Linked DNA regions of Rattus norvegicus. The protein of the gene in region 1 purifies or fractionates together with the protein of each later gene. This does not show direct contact. Links are inferred from orthologs where the notes say so. Each region holds a gene or a part of one and is shown on either strand. Other genes may lie near its edges.

The links.
Region 2: the proteins of Prpf40a (region 1) and Snrnp70 fractionate together in Homo sapiens (co-fractionation; 3 studies listed by BioGRID, with this or other methods). This does not show direct contact. The link is inferred for Rattus norvegicus from reciprocal best matches to the Homo sapiens genes PRPF40A and SNRNP70.
Region 3: the proteins of Prpf40a (region 1) and Ncbp3 purify together in Homo sapiens (affinity purification with mass spectrometry; 3 studies listed by BioGRID and IntAct, counting the BioPlex papers as one, with this or other methods). This does not show direct contact. The link is inferred for Rattus norvegicus from reciprocal best matches to the Homo sapiens genes PRPF40A and NCBP3.
Region 4: the proteins of Prpf40a (region 1) and Sf3b1 purify together in Homo sapiens (co-immunoprecipitation; 3 studies listed by BioGRID and IntAct, with this or other methods). This does not show direct contact. The link is inferred for Rattus norvegicus from reciprocal best matches to the Homo sapiens genes PRPF40A and SF3B1.

What each region holds. Positions count from the first base shown.
Region 1 is NC_086021.1:58,094,672-58,100,561, forward strand, and holds the start of Prpf40a (pre-mRNA-processing factor 40 homolog A), read right to left. Parts: upstream 3,839-5,890; coding exon 3,674-3,838; intron 2,747-3,673; exon of another isoform or gene 2,746-2,746; coding exon 2,614-2,745; intron 1,184-2,613; exon of another isoform or gene 1,152-1,183; coding exon of another isoform or gene 1,104-1,151; intron 1-1,103. Other genes in the region: Arl6ip6 (ADP-ribosylation factor-like protein 6-interacting protein 6), read left to right, coding at 4,802-5,192.
Region 2 is NC_086019.1:105,005,198-105,010,527, forward strand, and holds part of Snrnp70 (U1 small nuclear ribonucleoprotein 70 kDa), read right to left. Parts: intron 4,330-5,330; coding exon 4,267-4,329; intron 4,094-4,266; coding exon 4,039-4,093; intron 1-4,038. UniProt on the Homo sapiens protein: Component of the spliceosomal U1 snRNP, which is essential for recognition of the pre-mRNA 5' splice-site and the subsequent assembly of the spliceosome. SNRNP70 binds to the loop I region of U1-snRNA.
Region 3 is NC_086028.1:58,161,644-58,167,752, forward strand, and holds the start of Ncbp3 (nuclear cap-binding protein subunit 3), read left to right. Parts: upstream 1-2,597; 5' UTR 2,598-2,619; coding exon 2,620-2,802; intron 2,803-2,904; exon of another isoform or gene 2,905-3,187; intron 3,188-4,542; coding exon 4,543-4,608; intron 4,609-6,109. UniProt on the Homo sapiens protein: Associates with NCBP1/CBP80 to form an alternative cap-binding complex (CBC) which plays a key role in mRNA export. NCBP3 serves as adapter protein linking the capped RNAs (m7GpppG-capped RNA) to NCBP1/CBP80.
Region 4 is NC_086027.1:64,023,371-64,029,377, forward strand, and holds the start of Sf3b1 (splicing factor 3B subunit 1), read right to left. Parts: upstream 3,350-6,007; 5' UTR 3,221-3,349; coding exon 3,193-3,220; intron 1-3,192. UniProt on the Homo sapiens protein: Component of the 17S U2 SnRNP complex of the spliceosome, a large ribonucleoprotein complex that removes introns from transcribed pre-mRNAs.

The DNA.
Region 1 (5,890 bases):
AACATTTCAAAGACCACAATCATCCAATTTTCTTAAGGGAACTTAAATGTGGGCAGTGTAGCAGATAACTGACAGTAGGCTGACCTGTTCCAGGATCCTGTGTATCAAAATTCAGACTTTCACCCTTGCATAAAAAAGTCCATAATATATGCATATAACCAATGGACATCTTGTATAGTCTAAATCATATCTAGATTACTTATGCATAACATGATATACATGCTCTCTCTATAACTATATAGCTGTTTCATGTGTTAAATGTTAATATGACAAGGAAAAAATCTGCTTGTGGTCTGGAAATTGTAATCTATTTGTCATGAACTATAAGCCCATGTTAGATGAAACAAATAGACATAGAATCTTGCAGTTATAAAGGATCAACTATTTTTGAAGATTATATAGCCCTTGGTCCCAAAAATCTGAAAATGTTTTGAAAAACTTTGGATGATAAAACTATACATTCACTGCCATGAGTGGTATAGGCACCCTGCTACTTGTCAATTATCTTCTCATTATAATTACTATTAATAATCCTGAGTATATGCAAACAGAAGAAATGATGCAGGAAAAACAATCAGTTCATCTTTAAGAGAAAGTTCAGAGCTTTAAGAAAGATTCCTAGAGTCCTCAAGGATTCAGCTTAGCTTTACCATGAGCTAGAACCCATGCTGTTAGCTAGGAAGGGGCACTGGATAATGATCTAATTTTGAGAGAACAACAGCAACTTTCTTGAGACTTTCAGATCTGGTCTCCTAAAGTATTCATTCATTATCCTCAGAGGAAGATGCTAAACATTTAAATAATTGGGTGTATTTAATGGTGTATAGAACGTACTGGACTAAAAAAAAAAATGTAGAAAACCATGAAGCAAAATTCAGAATATCTGAAGTGTGTAAGTAGCAAGTAAACTTATTAGGAAAGTGGTCACTGGCACAGCCAAAGAGAAGGGGCCATAAAACAAACTGTGACCAGTGTATGCCAATTACTTAAAAAAAAAAAAAAATCTGCACTATACTAAAAATGACTAGCTGGCATCTCAGGTCTGCTAGTGCAACAGCACCATTACAGCAAGGGTAAGCAGGTCAACCCCTTGCAAAACTTACCTTGACTGGCCCAATGGAAACAGAAGGCCCCAGAAAAGAAAGAAGCATCTGGCAGTAGCAAATTGTTTTATTTTATCTTTCTGTGGAAAGAAACTAATTTTAAATAAGAACCAGAGCATTTAAAGAATAAATATTTTTTAAGCTCATTATCTAGTTAGAGCAGCTCTATCAAGAAAACAAGAAGGGTTTTGTGCTGCTTAGAGATGGAAAGATACAGAAGAAGAATCAAGAGTTGTCTCTGCATCTCCTAGGGAGCTTTAAAGTATTGTTATTCTAGAGTAACAGAGCAAAGAATCTTTTATATAAAGAACTCCTGCAGGCAGAATCTTTTCAGTCTGGTGCCTTTGAATAAAACTTTTTATACAAAATTAAGGGCTATATTCCAAATATAAAAGAAAACCACTTAACATTGAACCATTCTACTCTTAGAAGTAAAATAAAAAGAAAAATACAACAAGCTCCTGTTTCCGCTGCAATTTCACCAATAACTTTAGCCTTCATTGCTTAAACCATTATCAAACTCCATAGTACTCATTAGCAAAAGAAAATATACAACTGACTTTCTAAAATATCTGCTAACCAAAATATTTCATGACTTATCAAGATACTCAATTGGAATAACCCAGTCCACCCAAGACTCTGTGTATTATAGCACCTAGCATAGGACACAACTGTTCATGGAACTGAAGCTCTTGACTTTCTTGAACATTTCTCTAGAAATCCTACTACCAGTGTTACGAAGTCATCTCAAAACCTTTTAATCCAATCACTTCTACAAAATGTCCATTTACAATCTGTGCTAGAGATGCAAGGGACAATGCACAAGTAGGAGTGTAGAAGCAATAATCATTTCAAAAATTAAGTAGAAAACGAGTATATACCTATTTGGCATGGTCCAGGGAAGAATTGGTAATAGAGTAGAAAATCCCCACACTCCCAACAAGAGGAAGATACTACAAGAATAAAATTCATTCTAAATGAAAACCCCAAGTAACTATTATTTTTCTGATGCTACGCTTTACACATTCACCATGACTGTCTTCTGATATTTACTTCTAGACCATTAATAATTATAATGCCTGAAAGAAGTCACTAAGTTAAATAGATTAGCTCTATACTGTCACTTTAGATTGTTTGCTTAATTCTCAAGATAGGGTTTCTCTGTCTTGGAACTCATTCTATAGACCCAGGCTAGTCTTGACCTCAGAGATCCACCTGCCACTGCCTCCCAAGTGCTGGGATCAAAGGCGAGCGCCACCACCGCCGGCTTAAAAGATTATTTTAAATCTTAACTTTGTTGAGGAAATCAGTTAATTTTTTAAAATACAGTCTTACTCCATTCAAAATTTGGTTACAGACATGATCACCATAATGCTTGTCTTGTTTGACCACATTATATGGATATAAACTAACCTTTAAACATCTGCAAGTACAACACTGACTCACACCTTAAAATCTTGAGACAAGCAAACAAAAATAAGCAAGCCAAAGTAAAAAAACATCTTCTTACTTGTCCCATTGGAGGCCCTCCCATAGGAGGCATCATCTGTGGCATCATTCCGTGAGGTACAGGAGGCATGTTTGCTCGCTGACCCATAGGGTGCATGCCCATTGGTGCATAATGCATGCCAGGATGCCCCATCTGAAAAACAATGAAAAGTAAGAGGTAAGACACAATCAATGTTTCTTTAAACTGTCATTTCAAAAACAACGACTAAAACCCATCAACTGAACTGAAAGTCAACTAAGTCAATGTGATTAAACTACAGGATTAGCATCTAGTAACGTTAATCTAAAATATACTACAGTGGTTATTATGAGGAACCTCAAAATTTACAAAATATGGGGAAGTTAATCCCAATAGCGGATTAAAATCCCTCTCCGATGACTTAGCCAACTGTCAAATGACTGGCCAGACTTGGTGTCTATGTATTGAATTCTAACTTAAAATTATTACGGTGAACCCAACCTTGTCACCTTTATACATATACTCTGTTTATACTACTTAAAATTACATTAATTTGGACGAGGTCTGATCATAAAACAGAGTGGGTACCCAAGAGTACTTCGTTAAGGAACGAATGTCTTAATATAGTTAAAATATCAAAGACTGTCATTCTGTCCCAGACACTAAATGCAAATAACAAATTCATCCATTTTAGTGAGCTAAAAATATAGTACTTCCATTGTTCCTGGCTTGAAACTAAGTATCCGCAGCCAATTCTCCCAACCAAATCCCCCAACCGGTGCAAATCACCACTACTCCGGAGGAAAATAAACTGCAGCAGCCTCTCCCTACCATAAAGCAAGCCTGGGGCTTTCAGACGTGCAGTCCGCCCGGGGCCCAGCACCTCCCTTCCTAAGGCATCTACTTAGGCCAAGACCACTGGCAAGTCCAAGGTCCCACATATTTCTTTGTGCGTTCCCGCCCTCTATTTCTCTCCCTTGGGACGTAGCCCACCATCTGGAGCTCTCTTCCTGGTATACTCGTCTCCTTTTGGAGAAAGCTTCCTGTTTCTCTGACTCGGTTTTTCATTGTGCCGCTTTCCCCTACCCCGCCGATCCCTTACCGAGGGCCGTCTCCTCAGGAAGCCGTCAGCAGAGACCCAAGAACTGGAGCACAGGTTTGAGCCGGACAATCTCCGCTCCCCGTCCCCGGGACCCCGCGAGGGAGGTTGGCTCTCCATTTCACTCACCATGAGGCCTCCACGCTCGGCTCCAGTCCCCGGCCTCATCGTCGGGCTCAGACTGCTCCGTCGGCGGCCACTGCCGCTACACATACCAACAAGAAGCGATCTGAGTGGCTGGCGCCCGCTGGGGCCAAAGGGTAAAGGCTGCCCTGAGCTGCGGGGCGGGATCAGCGGGGCCAATAAACTGACAGGCTTCCCTACTGTCCAATCAGAGCGCGATACCGACACGCAGCTCTGCGGCGATTCGCCCCCAGCCTCACTCGGCGTCGCCTGCATGGAGAGGGGGGAGGGGGATGGAGGAAGTTTCTGCGTCGAGTGCTCTGCCGGGGAAACTCTACCAACTTCCCCCAGGAAAGGGGACACGGCGGGGACCCAGATTCCCGGGTTTGGGCCACCGCACCCCGCCGGGGGTGTGGCAATGGCGTCGTGCCACCTTCGCCACCCCCCCGCCCTAGTTACGTTCGCCCCACAAACCTGAGGCCACCAGGGGTGGGGTGGGGGCGGGGTAAGCGGCACCCGGCGTTAGCGGCCTAGTGCGCGCGTGCGCGCGGTTGGCGTGGGGAGGGGTCGTGCCCGGGGTTCGCCGGTGGGGGGTTTGGGGGGTACGGGGCTTCAGAGCTGCGCGCGCCCCAGTGAAGGATGGAGGCGCGTACTGTAGTTGGCGGGGAGTTGTAGAGGCGGAGATCACTCGCCCGAGGGAGGAAGCGATTGGCGGTTAGGAAGCCGCGGAGCTGAGCGGGAAGCTGCGGTTATGGGGCTTGGACGGTGCGTGCCAATAGGACCGGAAAGGGCCGAATAAATTAAGCAGTGCTTCTCCGCGGGCCACGGGCGCGCGCTCACACGGCACATCCGCTAGCGGAGCTGCCTGGAAACCCGCTGGTGCACCCCCCCACCGCTCTGCGCTCGGTGGTTGGGTCCGCCGACGGCCGCCGCTGATTGGCTGTTGTCGGGGAGGGGCGTGGCGGTGGAGGACGCTCGACCTTCGCGGGTCTCTCAGTCTTTCCCGCCATGTCCTTTGTGGAGAGTTGGAGGTCTGTAGGCCCGCGTAGGCGCCGTCAGGTTACCCCAGGCCCTGTCACTCGGTCTGTGTATTCCGACTACACTCAAGGGAATAGCTGGAGTGAGGACGGAGACGAGGGATGCGACCAAGTGGCCCGCGACTTGCGAGCAGAGTTCTCGGCCAGGGCGTCGTCGGAGTCCAAGAGGGCTCCGCTACTCCCACGGATCGGGGACGGGTCGCCGGTCCTGCCGGATAAGCGCAACGGCATCTTCCCGGCGACTGCGGCCAAGCGAACCCAGGCTCGGCGGTGGCCCATCCAAGCCCTTTCCATTCTTTGTTCGCTGCTGTTCGCCGTCCTCCTTGCTTTTCTCCTCGCCATCGCCTACCTGATCGTTAAAGGTACTGAGATCCAGGCCTTGAAAGGCTGTCCAGCATAAAGTCGAGCCAGTACATCACACGCCCCCATTCACACTTTCCTCCCAAAGCTTTCCCTCGAAACTGTTACGGTACTTTGTCGTCCCCCCCCCCCCCCTTTGTCTTCTCTCCTTAGATGGGCGACCCTGCTCCATAATGAGTGTAGAAAAGATCCACACTCTTAAATGCTGTAAAGGCATTGAATCCTTGAGTTGAAACATAAGTACGGCTTATGTTAATCAGAGCCCCTTTTAAAAGGATCAAAAAGTGTATGTAACAAAAATAGGCTGTTGATGTTCTAAGGCTGAGGTTTAGAGACGTGCTGTGTATACGCTTTTCTCTGATCCTAGATACATTGAAGGACAAGGATTTCTCCCCCTCATCCCGGGTTTCTACTTTTATAGGCAAATGGTTTTTCTTTGTAACCAAGTAGAGTTATTTCAGGACAGTCTGTTCTATATACTACTTAGTCAGAAATTGGCATATGTTGTCCAAGTAGGAATGTTCTGAAAGACGCTCTTCCCTTTACCCCATTGGGATTTGTTGTATGGTTTAGTATTTTTTGAAGTGGAAAGAGATTTGAATTTAGTTAGTGTTGCTTTTGCCAGTTCTTGAGAAACTGAAACATGAAAGCAGTATCTTGTATTAAAAGGATTCAACGCTTTGTGATTCTCCTGTTACCT
Region 2 (5,330 bases), on another chromosome or scaffold:
GCTACAGAAAGCAATGCTCTTTAAAAAAAAAAATCAAAATAAAGGGGGTTGGGGGTTGGAGAGATGGCTCAGCAGCTAGCTGTCATTCCAAAGATCTTCCTGAGTTCAATTTCCAGCAACCACATGGTGGGTCACAACCATCTGTAATGGGATCTTCTAGTGTATATAAATAAATCTTAAAAAACTTAAAGATCTTCGTCCTTCTCAGGATCATAGCAATTTGGAAGAACACAAGGCATGTCTAGGGCCTTTAAGCAGGAAAGCAGGGCTATTTCTTCTGCCTGCCTATGCTTAAGCAGTCCAGACAAATGGTCTTTGTTACAAATTGTGTTTCTCATATTGACAGATCACAGGCATTAATATTTTGCAAGCTTCTTCAGTTATCAGTTGTGACTTTCCCACCAACAGGCAAACTAGATCCAAAGAATCAGCCATGGTGGTAGTCCTTTTGATCATTAAGGGCATGGTCATGGGCTGGAGAGATGGCTCGGCGGTTAAGAGCACGCGACTACTCTTCCAGAGGTCCTGAGTTCAATTCCCAGCAACCACATGGTGGCTCACAACCATCTGTAAAGAGATCCGATGCACTCTTCTGGTGTGTCTGAGGACAGCTACAGTGTACTTATATATAATAAATGAATAAAAAAAAAAAGGGCATGGTCATAACAAAAGAGGGCTCTTCAAAACTTAAGGCTTTCAACTGCACCTCCACTCAAGAGATGCCCCTCAACATTGCTGACCTCATCCCACTACCTGTCCCTAGGCAGGGTTAATCCTAGGGTGCTGAAAATTGGGAGGAGTAAAGAAAAAAGGAGTCAGGTTGGTGAGATGGCTCAGTGGTTAAGAGCACTGACTGCTCTTCCAGAGGTCCTGAGTTCAATTCCCAGCAACCACATGGTGGCTTACAACCACCTGTAATGAGACCTGATGCCCTCTTCTGGTGAGTCTGAAGACAGCTACAGTGCACTCATACATAAAGCAAATCTTTAAAAAAGTTTTATTTTTAAAAAAGAAAAGGAATCAGTGATGATTCTTGTCCCCTTTTCCTTTCTCTTTGACAGCCAGTGCCTAAATGTGCATATGTGTCAAGGTTGAACTTCTTAGGACTCCCTTGTCAGGACCCTAACACAGAACTAGACTACAGGAAGCCTTACAGCTAGAAAACTTCACTAGGCTTTCCATTAGTTGCTGTGAAACCTGAAACGCCCCCTCTTTATAAGATACTCTACAACTCCACAACATACTACTTGTTTTTCATCTTGCAATGGGAATAATCATTCCTCCTGCACGTACAAGTCACCATGAGTTCATAACATGAAGGACATCAAGTGCTCAGCAAAGGGACAGAGTCTCCTTTAATAGAAGCTTCTATAGTTACTGGGCATAGATAGATACCCTACCGTACCTGATCCATCCTCTGCTCTATTTTAGACAGTACAATGAACCTGCTTCAATTACCACCACAGGGCCTAACTTAATTGATCTCTACATTCCCCAACCCAACTTTGGAATTTCAGTCACATCTCAGAGCACACTATGTTGATCATCAATGCAATTGAAATAAATACATTTCAATAAACTGAAACCACAGTATCATTGTTAATGACTAATTTCTAACTTCATTTTCAATCCCTCGACTGGGGCTATATCAGAATGAAACCTGTATACACCACATTTAAACCCCAATCCAGTCAAGCTCAATGTCTTGCTTAGTTGATCTCCCCCCCCTTTTTTGGTTTTTACTCTGGAAACCAACCTCAGATGATGAGTCTTTTGACCTCTTATTCCATGGTCCCCCTATTCCCTGCCCCCAACTTCTCCTTGTCGGTTTTTTTTTTTTTTTTTTTTTTTTAGATTTCTGGTCATGGGTCTATTCTACATAATCTCCCACATTCTTCAACTGATGCAAGGCAAACATGGATTACAGGAAGAGATTGGCATTATGCTGAGGGCAGGAGGAAGAATTGAGTACTTATCTTTGGAAAGCTCCTTTAAGAGAATTTGGGCTGGGGAGACAAGTGAACAAGACACACTAATAAAGCACTGTCTAAGCCAAGAGGACCCTGGACATGGAATGTCTCACTTTGTGACATTTAGCAAGTAACAAAGGCAGATCTTTATGACAAGCTAGGGAAGTTATAAATGGTGTTGGGATGGCTCATCTTAGTTGACAACTTTCATGACTCTGGAGTCAACTAAAACCCAGGCAGCTGGGCACGCCTTTGAGGGCTTCTGGATTCAGTCATCTGAGGTAAGAAAAGCCAACTGAGATCTGGGTCATACCTTTTGTTGGCAGCCTACATAAAACCATGAATGAAGAAAGTTTTCTGCCTGCCTGCCCTGACTCCCTGCCAGGGTCATCCCTCCTGCTGCTAAAGCATTCTCTCACTGGTATCAGAGCTACTTCTTCAGGATTCCAACACAGACTTTCCAGTGAACAAACTCTTAGCCTTTCTGTTGAAAAAAGTCATTGTTTGACTAGCCAGACCACAGCCTGTAAGACACAGACACACACATTTCTATCAGTGCTGTTCCTTTAGAGAACCGTAACATGGGTGCTAAAGGCAAACTGAGTAGCAACATCTGGAAACAACTTATATAGCTAAAAATCCATTTATTAGGGAAGGCAAAAATCCATAGGAATTAGGAGGTGCTTCTGTGGCTTGAACATGAAGTATGAGGTGTCTGAGAAAATACATAGAACCAGGTACACAAGAGCTAGAGCTCTGTGCACTAACTTACTCATCATGTGTACTAACTACCTACAAGTTCTAAAATATAGTTTAGAAAAGAATGATTCAACAAGGCTGCAGACAACAGATGGAGATAAACCTCATCCTGTGGTGAGTCTTTACCTACTGAATACCAAGATCACTTTTGTGAGTCTGATTACCAAGTACTACTTAATCCCTCCTTATCTGGGTGTAGTATCTCCAATTCCAAGCTCAGGGAGCTGGAGATATGGTCAGGATCAAATGGCCAGATCACCCCATGCCTTACCTGAAGACACAATGGCATACGCCATGGTTCCTTTAAAAGAAAGCAAATAGGGCTGGAGAGATGGCTCAGTGGTTAGAGCACTGACTGCTCTTCCAGAGGTCATGAGTTCAATTCCCAGCAACCACATGGTGGCTCACAACCATCTGTAATGAGATCTGGTGCCCTCTTCTGGCCTGCAGTCACATATGCAGGCAGAATGCTGTACATAAAATAAATAAATAAATCTTAAAAAAAAAAAAAAGAGAAAGAAAGAAAGCAAATGACTGAGGTCTCCCTACATGTCAAAAGCATAAACCGACTGGAGATGGAGAGATGTCTCAGTAGTTAAGAGCACTGGTTGCTCTTTCCAGAAGGCTGGAGTTTGATCACCAGCAGCCACATAGTAACTCCTAACTATCCAACTACAGTTCCAGGAAATCCTATGCCCTCTTCTAATCTTCCACATGCAGGTAGGCAGAAAATCCATGCTTATAAAAAATAAAATAAAACATACAAGTAATGTAAGAAGAAAAGCCTGTTGGAATTTTCAACCCCAATAAGCCTATATAAAAACACACAATCCAGTTACAATAAATAATTATAAGCTATAAGCCTAGATTGAGCAGACCTAACACCTCACTAATTTATTCCCCAATGAGACTCTTTGCAACTTTCGGCATGTGGTTCTGCTCCATCATGGCTTCTTCCTCTTCTTCAGTCCTCTCTCTTCCCTTCTCCTCTCTACTAAGACCTCCCATCCCACCTTTCCCTTCCACTGTCTTTAGTGGTGACTAATTAAAATGGGGAGAAAGTTCACGAGATCACCTGAGTGATCAACTGCTTGTGGGGGACGGGACACCCCTCTTGAGGAAACTGAATTAACATCAAAATCATCAGGACAACCCACAACAGCCTTATACAAGTGCAGTGCCTGGCAAGTGGTTGCTAGGAAGGTGAGCCAACTCTGCTTCTCAAGCTCCCAGAAGAGACACACATGTGACCTGGGAAGAGGAGCAAAATGAGAATGGAGGGGAACACTGCTAGGAAGGAGAACCTTACACATTTTCAGCTCTGTCTCCACTTCCTGCTGTCGCCGTTCAATTTTTTCCCGTCTCTGCCAGTAGAAAAAAGAAGCAAAGTGAGTGTACCCAGAAGTACCTCGATGTCAGGAACCATTTGGAAAAAAGTAGCTAAAAAAATACAACACAAAACCAAACAAACAAACAAAAAACCCACACAAAAACAAAAAAACAAAACAACAAACACTAAGAGGTAAAAACAACATACCTTTCTCTCCATGCGTTCTTCCCGGGTTTCTGCCCTTGTTGGAGGAGGGGCATCTCGAGGGTCCTAGGAACAAGAAAGGTGACAGAGAATGGTGATGGAAAAATAGCAAGGAGTAGAAGGAAGACTCTCAGTATCTTCCATACACAAACGCCACACGTTCCCTGTATACTGACAGAAGACAAGAGGTGAGGGCCCAGATGAGGTATACCACAGACCAATGCTGACCAGACTGTTGCACACCTTTGGCGAGGTCAACATAGAAACCTCCTGCGTTCAGAAACTTCTGCCTAGTCCAACTAACTATGTCTGCTAGACATAAAAAAAATTAAGTCTTTTTAAAGGTCCTTTTTAAAAAACAAACATAGAAACAATCTTTGGTATTTACCCAAAGCATCAATTGCTGGGCATGGTGGCACACACCTTTATCCCTGCACTGAGAGGCAGTGGCAAACTGATCTCTGAGTTGGGAGTCCAGTCAGGCCTACAGAAAAAGCTCAGGACAAAAGAACATCAATCTAAATGCCTGTAGACATTTGACATTTGTCATGATATAGGTAACATGGTTGTAAGGTACAGTACCAAAGCTACCTAGTTCCTTCCCATAGCCAAGAACCCTGTCACAGAGGGCCAAATGTTAGAAATATGTCTGAAAGGATGGTGGGCAGGGCAGACCTCCAAAGCAAGACGATCTGTAACACCATGGCAAGTCATAAAATCCTCTCCAGGCTCTCATTAAATGCTAATTGGCACATGATCTGCAAAAAGGGTGCCACTGAGCTGTACCCATTAAAGTAAATGTTTATTGGATAATAACATTTCTCAAGTGGCATGTAGACAAATATTACTGAAGAATCACCTTTCTGTTATCTAGTAAATTCTACTTTTCCTACTTAATGTCAGAATGTTCTTCCTGAGACATCTGGCTATATGGCAGTGTTTCTTAGGTCTGCTCTGAAGGTGGGCATGACAAACTTTCTGCATAAGAGAACTGACTCCAAGGAGCTCAAGTGACTCATATGTACTCAGCAAGTACAGAGCCAACCCCTAGCTCCTAGCCTCAAGCA
Region 3 (6,109 bases), on another chromosome or scaffold:
CTTGGGTCCTTTTCAAGAGCACATGTGCTCCTAACCACTGAGCATCTCTCCAGCCCCCTCCTCTTTATTAATATTTCAGACACTCAGGCCCTCTGAAAGAGCATTATGTACTTAGAACCAGTGATCTATCTTCACTTTAGTTTTTGAGGTGGGGTCTTCTCCGTGAACCTGGACTACCGGATTCAGCTGGGATGGCTGGCCAGTGGGTTTAGGGATCTGCCTGTTGCTGCCCCTCCAGCAGTCAGGGTTTAGATGCCTGTCACTTTGTCAGGCTTTTACATAAGTGCTGGGATTTAGAATCGGGTTCTAGCACCGCAGGAATTTTATGAGGTGAACCATCCCTCCAGCCCCACTAACTGTAACTTTTTGAAAATTACTTTTTTTTTTTTTTTTGGTTCTTTTTTTTCGGAGCTGGGGACTGAACCCAGGGCCTTGCGCTTCCTAGGCAAGTGCTCTACCACTGAGCTAAATCCCCAACCCCTGAAAATTACTCTTTACCACCTCCTAAATTTCTGTGGTTTCACCTCATTGGGCTGCACTGTGGGCGGAGAGGCAGAGAAGTGTCTGGAGTAGCAGCCTGGGAGCTTAGTGTTGACTGCCTGATGTGTCCCTGTCCCCACCCCCACCCCGCTGTGGCTGTCCCAAGGCTTCTCTGCACTGCAATTTCAAATCCCTCTGAATTGAATCCTCAAGCTGCAAGTCTCTTTAGGAGGGAGAGAGGCCTGTGTGGCTGAGTAATTAACCGCTTCTGTTTCTCCTACCTCCCACTCTGTAGGCCCAGAAAGATAGCGTAATGGTGGGGTTCATGACTGTCACCCACAGCTGGCTATCCCAAACACAAACCTTTCTATAAAATATACACTAGGAAGCCAGGCATGGTGGCACATGCCTATAATCCCATCACTCAGGAGGTAGAGGTAGGAGGATTAGGAGTTTAAGGTCATTCTCTGCTACAAAGCGAGGAGCAGGCCAGCCAGTGCTACACAGCAAGATTCTGTCTCCAAACAAGAGGGCTTGGGTAAAGCTCACTGGTAAAGGGTTTTGTTAGCATGCTCAAGTCTCTGGGTTCCATTGTCAATACAGCAAAAGGAGAACAAAAGGAAAGGAAGGGGAAAGGGAGGAAAGAAAATGCATTCTATTCTTTTAACCCAGTTTTGTTCTTACATTTGTACTGCACTCAATGGATGTTGCCGTTCTGAGGAATTCCATCTTGTTTGTCCCAGGGTGCAGGCCCATTTTAAGAAAAGCTTGAATGTGCTGCACCACTTGTGTTGGGTCTCATAAGCACACATAATTAGCACGTTTGTTCCTTACATTCTTCTTGGAGGTGTGTGTCACCTCTTTGTTCTGCTGAAGGAACTGACATTCCGTGCCATGCCCAAGGTAACCTAGTGTATTTGATTCTTGTATTCTTCTGCTTTAGAATGATTTGTCTTTCTCTGAAAGGATTTTTAGGAGTTCAGATATATGGTCTCAGATATATATTCCTGGTTCAGATCGGGAGATAGGTCTAGAAAGGACCCCGAGCTAGTTAAATATGACATAGGAGGAGACACAAAATCAGGACTCATGACAGACAAGAAGTGCCTTCTGAAAGTCTGATTGTTCAGACTTTCCTTTTTCCCAGCCAGATTCTTACTAGAAACATTTGCAAGAAATCATGCTTGTGAGTCTTGTGATGGATAGAGCTCCCAGAAGTGAGAAAATGGAGTCTACGCTCTGGTTGTGCCCTTTGGGTAGGTCACTGCAATCTTTGAGCACCCCCTTTCCATTTAAGATAGGGTCTTCTGTAGCTTAGGCTGGCCTCAAGCTAGCAAGTGCCCCTTGGTGCAATTGGAGGATAACCTTGAGCACCTAATCCTCCTGCTTCTATCTCCCAAGTGTGGGGAATACAATCATGTACCACCATTACCAGTTTAAATTTAGTCAGGTCTCACCTTGGATCCCTGGATGGCCTGGCACTCGGAGATGAGCCTGCCTCTGACTCCTGACTACTGGAATGACAGGCATGTAACCCTACACTGGGCCCTAGTTTAAATTTTTTGACTACATAAAATGGTTCAATTACTGGAAGACTTGACAGAGACAAAGTTTACTATGGAAATAACTTTGTAAACGCTCAGATTGCCGAGATGATATATTATAGTTCATTCTGGGCTCTGAAGTACAATTGCCTAGGCTTAGATCCAGGTAAATAACCTACCTTGAGAAAACCGTGCCTCAGTTCTCTCCTATGTAAAATGAAAATAATAATAAAAGAAAGTAATAATAAAATCTTATTCCTAGAACTGTAAGGGTTCAAGCCATGGAAGTATTCGGCACGCAGTAACTGCTCAGCGGTTCTTAGAAGTATAGTCCTTAAAGTGTAGGTATTTTGGAACCTCAGACGAAGCTCCACCTCCATTCCTGTTTCGTCCCGCCCCCTACCCCGCAAAATCCCGCCCCAAGCTGGCCCCAGGTTCTGAGGCCACCAAGGGGGCGCCAGAGATAAGGACGGCTCTCTGGTAGAAACGGACGACGCTCTAGGTGACAGAGGTGCTTCTCTGTGGTCATCAGCGACGGCGCTCTAGGCGGCCGGAGTGAGGGGCGGGCTTTCTGTGGTGCGGCCGGCTGGCAGCTATGGCGGCCGTTCGCGGCCTGCGAGTGTCTGTGAAAGCGGAGGCCCCCGCTGGGCCGGCTTTGGGGCTTCCGTCGCCCGAGGTGGAATCCGGTTTGGAGCGTGGCGAGCCGGAACCCATGGAGGTTGAAGAAGGCGAGCTGGAAATCGTGCCGGTGCGGCGCTCCCTAAAGGAACTGCTCCCGGTACGGGCGAGGGGCGGGGGCTGAGGAGGAGGTCGCCGAGCGAGTGTCCCTTGCGAGGCGGGGAGGCGGTGGACAGCGGCGCTGGCGCAAGTCCCGGAATGCGGCGAGGGGCGCGAGCGCCGAAAGGCGGGGGCCGCGCATGACCCGGAGAGCTCCGGAGAGAAAGGACGCCGGGGCGCCCGGAAATGGGTGCAGAGAACGCTGGAGGAGGCGGGGGTTCTCGGAGAGAGTTGGGGACACCCCTCTGACTGCCCCTCGGTGCGGGCCCGTGGCCCGGAACGAATGAACTGAGTTCGGCTGAAGATAAAAGGGAGTCGCGGGCGGGAACAGAACCGGATCAGTCCTGAAAGGAAGTGTTAGGTGCCGCGGGCGTCCAGGTCTCCTGGTGGGTCCTACCCCGGCGGAGTTGGTGTCACTTAAACATGACATTCGCTCTTCGGTTGGGAGGGCTAGACTTGTCAAACAGCAGACACTTGTGTGTTGGTATTGTGAATGAGTGTCCTCATGTCCCCGCGTGCCTTCACTGCGTCTACTTGGTGGTCCCAGCTTCTGACGCACGGTGACATTTGATCTTTCTTTAACCACAGTGGATATGAGGAGTGTTTTGTTTGTGGTTTGGTATCCACATGCCCGCTCCTAAGGCTGGTGTGAGGCCTGGGTAGCTTGATTTTCACACATTAACCCCCCCCCCCGTTTAATTATGCGATAGCAGGTCTTGGTTTTACGTTTGAAGTTATAGTGAAGGGTAAGGTAGTGGTGACAAATATCTTTGGTAACATCTATAGATTATACTGTGGTCGTGACTTTAATCAGTTTAACATGTATATATCACACATCTCTCTATGTGCTGGTGTAATTCCAGGTGCCGAAGAGCAAAACTCCCTCTTGGTGTTTGCCCTAGTAGGGGACACAAGTAAATAATTTCCTTTTGTGTTAAGTGCTACAGAGAAAACACATCCTGTTAATAGGATAAAGTACAGTGGCCAGGAGGGATGTGAAGCAGTTGGTATGTGTTGGGATGCACAGGGAAGTCCCCCGAAATAGATTCAGCTTTAACCCTAAATGACAAAAAGGGGCCAACCATGTTGGTTGGAAAGGGAGCAATTCCTAGCAGGGAGGACTGCAAGCACAAAAGTCTCGGACATGAAAACAAGATTGTTTTGTTGAAGAAATGTTGGGTTGTCTTCAGCACAAGAGGAGAGCAGAAGTCAGAAAGATGTTGTAGAGGAAAGCAGGGCCTAGAGATTGAATGCAGGGGCCAGGGTATTGGCTGCAGACCCGAGACTTCAGTCCTCATTCTAGTCACTTCCCCTCCTTTTTTTCATTGTATTAGGCTGTATTTTTCCCAGAGATCTAGGACTTGAAACATTTTTGTGGAGGCATTTGCTCCACCTAGTGGCCTTTCATAGAAAATTTGTCCTGTCTGGTTTGGGGAGTTAAGTGACTGTCTCATTTTTGACATTTTTCACAAAAGACTTTAGGCTTTCATTTATCTAGATGCCCTGAGTTGACAGAATTACTTAATGTTATGCACAGGCTCCTGCCTGGGGTCTGGAGAAGACTTCTTATTAGAATGGTTGCTTTCTACTGTGGAGCCTCAGAGATAGACTTCCTCCTAACAAGGGTTGTTAGAATGGAGAAGGGTTGCTAAAAAGAATGGCTTCAAAAAGGGCCAGCTGTCAGGCTGCCTTTTATGGTGGATTGTTCTGTCGGAGTTTCTCATTTTTCCTCTTCTGGTAGGACACAAGCAGAAGATATGAAAACAAGGCCGGCAGCTTCATCACTGGGATCGATGTCACCTCCAAGGTGAGACAGACGGTGATTATTCAGGTTGATAAGCAGATAGAATTAGTGAATGTGGTCTTTACCTTTTACACAATGGTAAATATTTTTGCCTCATTTTTTTCTTTTGTTGCTGATATGTATCTCATCTATCTATGATACACATATCTCATAATGTCAAATATCTACATCTGTCTGCCCAACGATGTCCTTATATATCCTGAGACCGTTCAGGCAGCATTTGTGTGTGCACATATCCATGAAAAGATAATCACTGAACTTAGTTGTCTGTGCTAACCATTTCCAAGAAAGAGTTTGCACTGGGAATGCTTATTTTAATATTTATTATTTAACATTCACTTGTTATGTAGGATGGATGTGTGTGTTTTGTGTCAAAGTGTGCATGCTGTAACACATGTGAAGTCAGAGAACAACATCAGGTGTTGGTTCTTACCTATCATCTTTTTTGTTTGTTTGTTTTTTGTTTTTGTTTTATTTGAGGCAAGATCTCTCTGCATAGCCTTGGCTGTCCTGGAACTCACTATGTAGACCAGGCTGGTCTCAAACCCACAGAGGTACACCTGCCTGTGCATTTCAGGTGCTAGGATCAAAAGCATATGCCACTACATCTGACTTTTTTTTTTTTTTGCTGGTAGTAGTATTATTGATAATATTTTTAAATTTGTGTATGAGCATTTGCCTGTATGTATTAAGTGTACCACATTCAGAACTAGGATGTGAGGAGCTCAGGAGAGGACTTCAGATCCGTTTGGACTGGAGTTTCAGATAGTTGGGAGCTGCCCTGTGGGTATTGGGAACCAAACCTGGATCTCTGTAAGAACAGACAGTGATTGTAACTGCTGAACTATCTCTCCATTCCCCCTCCTACCTTGTTTTTGAGGTGTTCTCTCATCTCTGTCTCCTGTCTCTAAGAATGTAGAAATTACAGACAAATGCTGCAGGGTCGGACTTTTACATGGTACTGGGAATCTCATTCAGGTTGTTAGGCTTACCTGGCAAGCACAACCACAGTCATGCTATGCCCCTGGCCTCGGGGATGCTTAAAGCCATTAATGTATATCTGTGGAAACACTGCTTTCCAACTTAGAAAAATGGTTAGAAGTTGTCTGCATGTCTAAGCTTTGAGGGCCATGCCGACTGATTATCCCCAGCATCTGACAATATTGTCTTTTGCTAAGTGATTGCGTTACCATTGTACCACCTCCATTATCATACCTCAGAGTGAAGCCTCTTAGTTCCCATGTGATAAATTGTCCATACGTTGCTTTAATTCAGTTCATTCAGACTTTTTCTTTCTTCATGATTTAAATGTGTGCTGTTCAGTTTAAAACAGAATTTTCCATTTCAATTGTACTTTTTATTCTGTGTATATATCAGTGTTTGCCTCTGTGTGTTATGTGCACCATGTGCCTGCCTGGTGCCTATGGAGGTCAGAAGAGGGCATCAGATCCCCTGGAACTGGAGTTACAGACAGTTGTGAGCTACACCATGTGGGTGCTGGAAA
Region 4 (6,007 bases), on another chromosome or scaffold:
TTGGATACATATTATAGACCAGGTGCTGGAGCTATCAAGGCACATATAATTCCTGTGCACACCAATGGTAGAGAAAGCTTTAATGAGATTACTCTGATTAAAGGTGTGAACTCACTTCCTGCCAAACCTGACATCCCAGAACCTTCATCGTGGAAGGAGTGAACAACTCTTCCAAGTTGTCCTGATATTTGCACAAAGCAAATATAAATATAAAAAATTTTCAAAAGCCCTACTTTAAACAAGCATGGTGGTGCATAAGTCTGATCCCAGCACTTGGGGGATAGAGGCAAGCCAATCCAAAGCCAGCATAGCCTACCCAGAGTTTCAGGACAGCAGAAACTACATGGAGAAACTGTCTCAAAAAACAGAAAGTTCGAGGCCAGCCTGATATACAGAGCAAATTCCAAGGCAAAGCCACAAAACAAACAAACCTACCAACAAAAAAAAAAAAACAAAAAGACTAAGACAATGAAGACTTATACTGAGGGCCACACCCCTCAGGAAAACGAATTTTGCTCCATGTTACAGTGACTTAAATGACAGTTGTAAAACACTATATTCTCCAGGAAAACGTCATTAAGAGAGCAAGAGGCCATGAAAATGCTATATACAGTTCTACTAAAAAGTTATGAGATGGGCGGTGGTGATGCGAGAATTTTAATCCCAGTACTTAAGAAACACAGATTAATCTGTGTTCAAGGCCCAGCCCCGTGTACAGAATTCCAGGTCAGCTAGGTCCAGCCAGGTCTATACAGGGAAACCCTGTCTTTGGGGGGTGGGGGGGTGGTGTTAGCATCTGACTTATACCTAATAGTGACATACAGCACCCTGCATTCAAACAGCACTTGTACAATACTAATTAATTCAACGATAAAATAATCCTAATTAGCAATTTCTGCCAATGACCTACAACTGACCAACAAGTTTGCTGGACTTCTACAATGAAAAAAACAAGAAAGAAAGAAAGAAAGAAAGAAAGAAAGAAAGAAAGAAAGAAAGAAAGAAAGAAAGAAAGAAAATAAATAAATTCATCCCTAAACTTTACATTTACCAGCGCTAGAAAAATGGCTCTGCAGCTAAGAGCAGTGGCTGCTCTTCCAGAGGACCTGGGTTCAGTTCCCAGCACCCATGTGGAAGCTTCCAACTGTCTTTTACTCCACTTCCAGGGAATCTGACACCCTCACAGACATATATGTAGGAAAAACACTACTGCACATAAAATAAACTTTACATTTTCTAACAGGGAGTATGTTACATTGAAGATATCAATAAGCCAACAATCAAAGCTACAAAATATCCATAAATAAATAACCTATCAGGGCATGAAACTCTACCTATGCAGCTATGGAGATGCCAGCATGCAGTAAACCATGCTTCTGTCAGTAAACACTTCCCCTCATACCAGGCTCTGTAAGCCCAAAAAACTCACTGGTTCCCCAGAATGAAATAACCTAGCGACAGTGTTCGCACATACATGAAATAAATCATTCTTTAAAGAAAGAGAGAGAGAGATTGCAATTTAAAAAAAAAAAAAAAACCGGGGTTGGGGATTTAGCTCAGTGGTAGAGCGCTTAGCAAGCGCAAGACCTTGGGTTCGGTCCCCAGCTCCAGGAAAAAAAAAAAAAAAAAAAAAAAACATAAAGAAGGGGAGGGGGAGGGGTTAGGGGGATGTTTGCCCGGAAACCGGGAAAGGGAATAACACTCGAAATGTAAATAAGAAATACTCAAGTTAATAAAAAAAAAAAAAAAAAAGTCTTGGACTAGCCAGACATAGCACACTCGGGCCTTTTAACCTTGTAGACTAGGGCCTATTCTTGTCTACATAGGAAGTTTCAGGGCAACAGGGATCACTATGTAATCTCAGAAAAGAAAAAAAGAAAACAAAAACATGTGTTGTACTTTCAGTTTAAAAACAAAAGACTAAGGCGTTAACATTTCTGGCTTTCAAAAGTGTTGATACTTTCAGTTCCTCCAATGTCCCAACAATCACCTTTTGGTCCTAAACCATCTCTCTAGAATCGTATCGGAATTCCCTCCTTACACCCTAGTCCACCACAACAACGAGTCACTTACGAGTCACGAGTGTTCTTACAAGATGTTCCCTCGGGCTCAGACATCCTCCTCTAATTTAAAACTGATTGATCCTTTTTTATCAGCACCACGTCACCACCTCCCAAAAATAACTATGCATAAATTAATGGCTCCGTTACCCAGCTTCTCAGAAAGTATTGGCTTTACTTCTCTGTACACATTCCTTTTCTAAGAGAATAAAGACTCACGTTTGTTTTCCACATCAAACTGTCAAATTTCTAACATCCTTAGCTTGTTACCTCTCTCTAACACCAAGACACACACTTAGAAAGGACTTGTTTAGTGACTTAGTAGCCATGTTGTCAGCGTAAATTTTGGCTTCTAAACCGGAAGCCAAGAAAGAGAGATTCAATCTCTCACACTCAATTCCTTCCCGTCTTCTCTGGTTCCTTCTTTATGGAATCCGGTAGCTTTTCAACATGTTTCAAGCTGTTTTACTCTTGTGGGGCATAAAATGACCGACTACCCTGAAAACTTTGGCAACTGGTCAAATCTGCCCTTCCTTCCTTCTTTCTTACTCCTGGTTCTCCAACATTTAGCTCTCAAAGAAAAAGAGAAACACTACGCTGAAAGTGATTTAAGGAGTAAACTACCAGATTTTATGCCGGAATCATTTCGTGCAAGCACCACCACAACATAACCCAGCCGCCTGGAGATACCTATACAACGGAGGTTTGAAGTAACAGGCCTCCGCTGAAACGGACTCCGTTAAGAGCGGCCCGAAAGCGGCTGCCGTCATTCAGGGCTTTCCAGGTGCAAACTGCCAACGACAGCGCCCAGGGAGCGAGAGAGACGTCCCTCCCATGTCCGCCTCTTGCTCCCTCCCCCGGAGTCCTCCAGAGCAAGCCGCTCGAGCGAGGCCCTCCGGCCAGAGCAAGAGAAGTCCGAAGCACCAACATCCAGCGCGGAACAAAGCACCAGCCCCGGAGTGCAAGAGGACGCCATTACGAGGGTAGCGGCCTGCGCCGAAGAGCCGAGCAGGCCCCGCCGCGCTGACTCGGCCCAGGCCAGAGATGCCTCGCGAAGACGCCGAAAGCCAAGAGAGAGGGACGCATCTGGCTGGCTGCCGAGGTCGCGCGTGGGAAGGGAAAGGCCGCTTACCTTCGTGAGTCTTGGCGATCTTCGCCATTTTGTCCACTCGAACACACAGACGGAACTGGCGCTCCCAAGGACTTCCGCTCGCCTCCGCCAACACAAGAAGCAGGCCGCACTCTGAGCCTGCGCACACGAGAACGCGCGCCGCACCGTGGCACGTAGTCCAACTGCCACCTAAATAAAATTGCGAGGTGCATGATGGGAATGGGAGGGGCCAGGGCGGGCTCCCGGCGGCTTCCTTAAACAGCGAGCGAGGCTGAAGAGAATGGCTGCTCTCCAAGTGAAACGCGTCTTCTCAGAGCCATTAATTCAAGCTCTTGGAAGACAAAAGGCAGTTCGAGACCCGCCTGATCTACAAAGAGAGTTCCAGGGAAGACTGGGCTACATAGACAAACCCTGTCTCAAAAAAAGCAAACGAAAGGAAGGGAAAGGAGAGAGAAAAAAGAAAAAGAACAGATTATTCTAAGGGAGTTAAATGCTGGGGCCGGAGATGAAGTATATAACCCAGCCCTCAAAAGGTGAGACAGGAAGATCCAGAGTTCAAGGTCAACCTCTGCTACATAACGAATTTGGAAATAAACTAGGCTCTTAGCCTTGGTTCCCAGAAGCCTGGCTCAAAAATAGATACATTGTCTCAAAAAAAAAGGGAAAGAAAGAAAGAACTCCCAGATTCAGGACAGTGGAAAACAGAAAGGGCACCATTGGAAACTTTAGGACAGGTTGGAGAGATGACCCAAAGGTTAAGAAACGGTTGCTCTCCCAGAGAACCCAGATTTAATTCCCAGCACTCACATGGCCCCTCACAAACTAAGTCCAGTCCAGGTATCTGATGGACCTATGAACACTACATACATACACATTATTTTAAAGAAAAAGAGAAACTGTCTAGAAAAAGCTTGCTGCATAGCCTCACAATGAGGCATGGAGAAATATGGATAGTTTTTCAAGCAATGTTTCCTTCAGGTGTGCATTATTAAAAGGATTTGATGTAAAAGAAACTCAAAGTAATAGAATTGATGTAGTAATTACTAATAGGTTTGCTTACGAGACATTAAATTACACAAAGTAGAATTTAGCTAAAGGAATGCTGCCCTCAAAATACCCCCCAAAAAACAGTATGATACCCAGACCTGTTAAAGTTTACGATGCCTAAGATGGCAATGCTTGTTCAGTATTGACCAGCCATTAGGCCTGCCCCCACACCATAGAACACTTTCCTAACAGGCAGCTCAAGGGGGATAGGGTCACAAGCAGTGTTAAGTCCTGATTTGCAATAAAGCCCAGTTCTCTTCTCGAGAAATAATTCTGTCCGGTGGGCAAGATGACCCCAGGTAATGGCTAGTTGAAAAAGAACAGCATGGGTGTACTTAAAATAATTCTTGCAATAACTTTGCTGTGATCAGGCAAAGAGGAGTGACCTATTGACCAGATTTGCAGCTTTCTATCGCTGTTTAAATTGTTCTAAATGTAACCCAGGGCTGGGACCTAAATTACAAATTTAAGGATGGCCTCATACTCAGAGAAAATAAGCCTAAGGTGTATCCAAGTTTTGAGACAGGGTCTCTCTGTGTAGTCTTGGCTATCCTGGTGTTGCCTGATAGCTCTTCCCATGAATCTGTTTCTCCATCATGGAGAGAGTTGCAGCCAGTAGGTTAGTGGCACATGCCTTTAACCCCAACACTCTGAAAGCAGAGGATCTCTGAGTTTGAGCCAGCCTGGTCTACAGAGTAAGTTCCAGGACAGCCGGGGCTACACAGAGAAACCCTGTCTCAAAAGAAAAAGCAAAACAAATTTGAGGTTTTAGAGATGACTCAGCAGTTTAGAGCACTGACTGCTCTTGCAAGAGAACCCAGGTTCATTTTCCAGCACCTACATGATTACTAACAACCATGAGCTATGGTTCAAATCCTCAGGGAATCTGACCCAACCCCTCTGGCTTCTGTGGCACACACATGGTGCACATACATACATGCAGGCAAAATACTCATACACATAAAATTTTTAAAAAGAGAATTACAGGATGGAGACCTGCAGTTTATCACATGTGAGATTTCTTGCAGCTGTGGTACAAGGAAGGGTGACCAGAGAGGAAGCACCATAGCCCGTAGGTAGTCTGTGTTTACATGCTTTTTTATAAGGTGTGGAGCAAAATTTGGCTCTGTTTTTGTTTGTTTGTTTCCTTGATAGTGTCTGACTGTGTATCTCTGGCTGTCCTGGAACTCGATCTGTAAACCAGGCTAGCCTCAGACTCAGAGATTTGCTTGCCTCTGCCTCTTGAGTGATAAGATTAAAGGTGTGTGCTACTCCAGGCCAGCTGTTTCTCCTTGAATTAGATCTGGTAAGATGCCTTTAGCTGCTTGGACCGACTAAAATGACAGTAAGGACTTGACTAGATGAAACACAGGTTGGGGAAACCTGCAGAAGTCCCTCCCTGTAGCAAAATATCCCTCAGAAACAAACCACTTTTGTTATCAGAGGTCCACAACGGTGAGAGGTCATGAGCCTCTTACCCTGCCAAGCCTACACAATGGGTTATCTGTGGCCCCCAAGGGGACCTGGGAGGAAGTTAACCCAGTGAAGAAAAGGTCTGGGTAATGAAGGAGTTTCTTTGGGGCACAAGTTTGGGAGTTAGCCCTCTAATGTGGAGACACTCAGGTTAGTTTGATGGTTCCTACCCAAGAGCTCTCCCTAGCTGTCTATCCATTTAAGAATAACCAGTTCCTATCTCCATGCACTTAACTCATTATGTAGACCAGGCTAGCCTTGAACTCATAGAGAGCTGCCTATCTTTGCCTCCCTAGCACTGGAATTAAAAGCATAT